2 linked regions of the Coturnix japonica genome follow. Each later gene encodes a partner of the first gene's protein in a complex. Links are inferred from orthologs where the notes say so. Each region holds a gene or a part of one and is shown on either strand. Other genes may lie near its edges.

Evidence for each region.
Region 2: the proteins of KL (region 1) and FGF23 are in contact, whole or in part, in a cryo-EM structure (PDB 7YSH), measured with the Homo sapiens proteins. The link is inferred for Coturnix japonica from reciprocal best matches to the Homo sapiens genes KL and FGF23. Residues at the interface, in NP_004786.2 of Homo sapiens: Phe377, Lys385, Leu389, Glu390, Pro392, Trp417, Phe418, Ser420, Lys429, Tyr432, Tyr433, Lys436, Phe437, Arg468, Ser471, Ile472, Arg556, Arg693, Asn694, Met695, Thr696, Tyr697, Ile735, Val752, Phe755, Asp756, Asn782, Asn783, Leu785, Ile812; in NP_065689.1 of Homo sapiens: Leu39, Met74, Ala80, Val88, Arg91, Leu166, Ile167, Phe169, Asn170, Ile173, Arg175, His177, Asp184, Ser185, Glu186, Arg187, Asp188, Pro189, Leu190, Asn191, Val192, Leu193, Lys194, Pro195, Arg196, Ala197, Arg198, Met199, Thr200, Pro201.

Annotation. Positions count from the first base shown.
Region 1 is NC_029516.1:155,888,676-155,892,510, reverse strand, and holds part of KL (klotho), read left to right. Parts: coding exon 1-1,076; intron 1,077-3,835. UniProt on the Homo sapiens protein: May have weak glycosidase activity towards glucuronylated steroids. However, it lacks essential active site Glu residues at positions 239 and 872, suggesting it may be inactive as a glycosidase in vivo.
Region 2 is NC_029516.1:67,148,318-67,150,709, forward strand, and holds the end of FGF23 (fibroblast growth factor 23), read left to right. Parts: intron 1-35; coding exon 36-139; intron 140-640; coding exon 641-1,078; 3' UTR 1,079-1,881; downstream 1,882-2,392. UniProt on the Homo sapiens protein: Regulator of phosphate homeostasis. Inhibits renal tubular phosphate transport by reducing SLC34A1 levels. Up-regulates EGR1 expression in the presence of KL. Acts directly on the parathyroid to decrease PTH secretion. Regulator of vitamin-D metabolism.

The sequences.
Region 1 (3,835 bases):
TGTGTGGGATGTTCACCAGACAAAGAAGTTAATTAAAGTGGATGGAGTTTTCGCCTCCAAACGCAAGCATCACTGTGTTGACTTCGCTGCCATCAGACTTCAGATCTCTCTCCTGCAGGAAATGCACGTCACTCACTTCCATTTTTCACTGAAATGGTCTTCAGTCCTTCCTTTAGGCAATCTCTCTCTAATCAACCACACACTTGTCCATTATTATCAGTGTTTTTGTAGTGAACTTCTCAGAGTTAATATAACTCCTGTTGTTGCTCTCTGGCAACCTATGGCTGAGAATCAAGAGCTTCCAACATCTCTTGCCAAATATGGAGCTTGGGAAAACTCAGAAACTGTTCAGGCTTTTGTTGAGTATGCAAAATTCAGCTTTGCAAGTCTTGGGGACCATGTGAAATTTTGGATCACAATGAATGAACCGTCTGTGAAAAACTTGACATACACTGCAGGACACAATCTGTTGAAAGCCCACGCAAAAGCATGGCATCTTTATGACAAAGAATTCAGGAGATCTCAGAAGGGTAAAATATCTATAGCTCTGCAAGCTGACTGGGTAGAACCAGCTTGTCCCTTTTCCAGGAATGACCAAGAAGTTGCTGACAGAATTTTAGAGTTTGACATTGGCTGGCTTGCAGAGCCCATCTTTGGCAACGGTGACTACCCACATGTGATGAGGGCATGGCTTCACCGGAGAAACAGCATTGACCTGTATAATTTCCACTTGCCTTCTTTCTCAGAAGATGAAAAGAAATTAATCCAGGGCTCATTTGATTTCTTTGCCTTAAGTCACTACACGACTACCCTTGTGGGCTGGGAGAGAGAAGATGCACTGAAATATGACCACTATCTTGAAGTTCAGATGATCAACGACATCACATGGCTGCACTCCCCCAGCAGAGCTGCAGTAGTGCCCTGGGGACTGCGTAGAATTCTCAGATGGGTTAAATCAAAGTATGGTGATGTCCCAGTTTATGTTATGGCTAATGGAATTGATGATGACCAGAATATTGTGCACGATAAGCTCAGAGTATATTACATACAGAATTACATCAATGAAGCCTTAAAAGGTAAGCTATCATAGGCAGCTTATATGCCACAAATACCACTTTCAGTGTTTATACTTTGTGAAAGATGATGTTTTAATTAAAAAAATAATAATAATAATGAAGCTTTGCTTAGAATACTCCATAAATTATTACACCTTAGTTTTTCCTCTTATTTACAACTGATTGTTGTTACTAAGCATAAGGACGACTGGCCTTGCTTGTATTCTACATAACCCTGCAGAACTTTTTGGTGGGTGCAAGAGCTTTAACTAGATGATGTTATGTGTGTGTAGTCTTATTTTCTTCCTGTTGCAATTCAACTGTTCTGTTTCTTTGTTGCTTCTCTTGTCACTGGTGTAATTCAGAGCTGGATGTGAGTTCTGTTCCTCAGCTGTCTCTGTATCTAATCCAGCAGTTATCTTGGCTCTTCATAACATTTCAGCTCTCTACCTCATATGCTGCTTCCTGGACTGTTTCCTGCTATTCAGAATTCAATCCAGTTGTTCTCTCTGTCTGAGAGGTTCATAAGTTATAAGGTAAAATGGAGGTATTTTGAGTCATCCTGTCACACAATGAAGATATTATTTAGAAAAACTCAAGACCTGGACAAGTTAATTTTTAATGGAGAATTTTCTACACTTCAATATAAGCTGTTTCAGTGTCAAGTTACTCGCCTTTTTCACATATATAACTATTAAAAACTTATTTCTAGTGTTAATTTCTTTGCCTTCAGCTTTCGGCAATTTTGCAATGCATTTCCATGTATTGGCTATCACAAGAAGAAAATAAGCCTCATCAAGCTGTAGGTGTCTCTGTTCATTGCAGGGAGTTGGACTAGATGACCCTTAAAGGTCCTTTCCAACTCAAACGATTCTATGGTTCTATAAGCCACCTTTTATTTAACTCTCTGGCAAATACTTCCAACAAAGCTCTTTGTGTCCCTTAGATAAAACATGATTTAGAATCTTTCAATTATTAAACATTTTCCTGCATGCCAGCATTCTTCATGAGATGTGTAAATTCCAGGTCTGGACATACTGTTCCTACCACAGCCACACCTGTAGATTAAGTGTGTATAATGTTACCTTTTACAATTTTACTCCTCTTTTGTAAATCCCAGAAGCCAATTAGCCCTTTTAGCAGCAGGTTGGTCACATGCAGTCTGTTGCTAACTGCTGTTATCTAGTCGTTAAAGGTTCCCTCCCCTCAGGTTGGAACTGTACTGAATTGTGGTGTTCCTCTATGCCATCCTTGTATTTATTCGTGTTCAAGTACCTCTAACCTACTTGTGAAAAACTAGCTACACTAGCGACGTCCCCAATCTTTGTGTTCTTTGCAAATTTTGTGAGAAATACCACTAAAAGATATAAAATATCTTAGTTGTAAAAGCTATTTTTCCATGACCACCTACTGGGACAATTAACTCTCTGTAATTATATATATAGACTTACCTGCTCTATTTTATGGGCCCACCTTGACCTCATAACATTTTATTTTCTTGATCCAAATGCCATATAATACCAAGTCAGTTGCCTTATGAAGTTGTAAGTATATCGCATCAAACATTACTTGTATTGATCTACTGATCTCATAAAAATGATGTCAAGTTAAGATGTCAAATTAGTTTGACAAGAGTTATTTTTCATAGAGCTAAGCTGATTGGCATTAATCATATGTATCTCCTGTAATTCTTATTTATCAAGCTTTGTATAATCTATCCCATTATTTTAGTAGGTAGTGAAGGATGGCTGGCAGTTCCATCATCGTGTCCACTGCATTAAGTGTTGGCTTTGATTTCCCTGTCCATAATTTCCACCTACTTTAGGAATTAGTCAGCATCCATACTAAGTGCCCCAGAGTTCCTTTGGCAACATTATGAAGTACTGGCTGCATGTTTTCTGCATCTGTAGTTAAAAACATATCTTAGTTGTATTTAGGCTTGTGGTTTCAATCTGTTTGGTTTGTTTGCTTTGTCTCCTTCCTAATACTGTAGGCTGTACCAGTTCTTGAGACGTCTCTAAGTGTGTGAATATGGGCCTTTCTCTCAGTTCCCATTAGTCTGCACATTATCCCATTGTTCACAGAACTTTGTCATTCATACAGCATCACTCAATTACTCCCCATCTCTTCCAAACATTCTGGAAATAGCTACTGTATTTTCCCACTAATAACATAATCCTTGTGTGCAAACCATATTTTCCAAGCTTTCTGCCTTCTTTGTCACAGATGAATATATCCCTGCTAACCAGTCACAATACTTCCCCAGAGCTCTGTCTTCCAAAGAGCTTTTTCACTCTCTGTTCTTCCCCTATACTGTCACTGTGCTTTTGTCCATCTTCTCCTTACACACATAACAAGCTTTTAACCTTGTCCCTCTGACTGACTCAATGTTTCTCCAGGACTTACTTTTTTTTCTGCAAGACAATCAGCACTCACTGAAAGGAAAAGTCTTTTGTCCTTGCATTGGGGTCATGCTAGTATCACCCTGAGTTTCCTGTTCTGCCTTCTTCCAGCTGGTCTCTGGGGCTGCGTATGGCAGCGCTGGCACATTGCTCTCCTGCATCATTCCAGAGGAGCCAATAGGTTTATGCAGATTAAACACTTCCAGGGTACAGTACAGAACTGTTTGGGCTGAGGCTGCATTTTTTTTTGTGTGTGTTTATGTTCATCTTTGCCAACTAAAAATAAAGAACAGCAATAACCATTTATGTGACAGCATTAAATCCACATGTAATTTTACAAACACAAACTAATTATCCTGCATAGCAGCTCTCTTAAAG
Region 2 (2,392 bases), about 89 Mb from region 1:
GATTCTGGATTTGACATCTTTGCTTTCTCAAAAAGGTGCCTTAATGATCAAGTCTGAGGGTGCTGGCTCTGTGATAATCACAGGTGTGAAGAGTGGACGCTACCTATGCATGGACATGAAAGGAGACATTTTTGGATCGGTAAGTTACCTTTAACAGGTAAAAGACAGGCACAGTCTGCTATATATGATCCATTTCCTCACATAGAGCAAATCTGTATAAGTACAGCAGTAGGATGCAGATTTTGGCAAGCTGATAACCTGCTGCTTAGGTTAAACTTTTTCTCCTCTTTGATTGCACTGAATTGTAGACCTGATAAAGAGTTCATCTGAGTTCCTGCTGGAATATATGAAAGCAGAAAGAGATCCAGTGAGATCTTGCAGACTTGCTACAGTATACATTCACAGTAGTTCAAGCAATGCAGCCCTCTGCTGAAACTAGTGTTGGCTCAATAACACTCCTGTTGAAAATTCAGACATTCGTACTGGATTAACATGAGTTGTCTGAGTTGCAGACCTGGAAGATCAGAAAACACCTTCTGCAATGTCTCATCTGTCTTTTTGTCTTTAACAGGTGCTTGTACTCCACCAAATCCCTTTGTTGACGTTTGTCTTTTTTTTTATTTTCTTTCCCTTCCCTAAGCATTATTTCAGCCAAGAGGACTGTGTGTTCAACCAAAGGACACTGGAAAATGGATATGATGTGTACCAATCTCCCAAACACAATTTTCTGGTTAGCTTGGGCAGAACTAAGCAAGTTTTCTTCCCTGGTATGAATCCACCACCGTACTCCCAGTTTTTGTCCAGGAGAAATGAAATCCCTTTGTTTCGATTCAACACACCTGAACCCCACAGAAACACTAGAAGTGCAGATGTCGATCCAATGGATCCTCACCAGATCCTGATCCCACAGAGAAAGGTCTCTGCATTAGATTCTCTGCTGCAGCTGCAAATGGACTTTTCCCATGTGCCCAGAGAACCCGTGAGAGTCAATCAGAATGATGTAGTCAACCCAGATGACCCACACGCTATGATGGATGCCAGGAGGTATGCTAGTCCTCGCTTCTACATTACAAGATGACGGCAACCACTTGCAAATTGATGACGCAGATGAATATAATAGACAGAAGTGCCTAAAACACTCAACCTGATTTCTAACCCTCAAGGTGGCTGCTAGAAACCTGAAGAACATTGACAAAAACCAATTTTCTTTCAAATTTTGTCCTTATGCATGACAGTTTACTGAAAAAGGGTGTTGCACTCTGCTCTACTGGAAAGAAGGTCCATTTTCAAAAAGAATAATATAAACAGAATATTTTACAGTCTGAAATACCTTTAGTATGCATAAGGAAAACAGAATTCACTTGAATGTAATGATGAACTAATTTTGTGTTACTGATGTATCTGGGGGAAGACATGAGCCCTGGAGGATTTGAAACGCCAGCAGGGGCAGAGAATCTTCTTACTAGCTCACGTGCAAGCACAGCAAGACTAACTTACCAACAGTGTGTTATATCATCATTTAAAACTTATTATATATATTTTTAGGCATTGAGATTGGAGCTTCAGTATCTTTTTGTGCCCATAGGAGTCAAGAAATGACAACTCTGGTATGAAAAAAACAACCAGTGCACAATGTAAACTGGAGTAGCTGACAGGGACCAAATGGTGTCGACAGTCATTTCTGACACCTATTGAACCCAAGCTGAGGTTTGGAAAAAAAGAGAAGTTGAGTCTCACCATTCTCTCAAGTCCTCTGTCATATCTCTCTATTCACTTAATTATAGCAACACAATATGGAAATATAATTCCCAGAGAGAAGTACCAGGATCAGTAGTATGCCAAAATGTTAGTTTATTTTGCACAGTGCTGAATTCTCTAGGAAAAAAAAATCCCCCCAAATTTATGCCTCATGGGCAAATTATTAATGGTTAATGCAGACACATCTAACGCATAAAAATTTATGCATCTATTTAGAAAAGGAGCGTCTAGGTTTGACATCAAAGCTTTTGTTTAATTCTAAGCAGATGACAGATGCTTTATGTCTGTAAGAGTGAAACGACTTTAATGTTATCAGATTTCTAAATGTTGACAAAACCTAGACATCTAGATTGACATATGTCATGTTATAACATAACATAAGTTAGTTACCAAAATGTAGCCTCCATGTATACATTCGAAGCTTACTGATCTTTAGCTAAGATAATTGCAGAGTTGAGATTTTCATAGTAATTTAGGTGAAAAGTGGTTAAATTCAGTATAGCTTCATCGATTTTACTGGAGCTACTTAGAGAATTCTGAATATTGTATACATATTTAGCACTTCTCCTTTATTTCATCAGCTTGTAGTCATATATTCCGGGAACTTTAAATAAGTGTGATTCTGAAAATATTC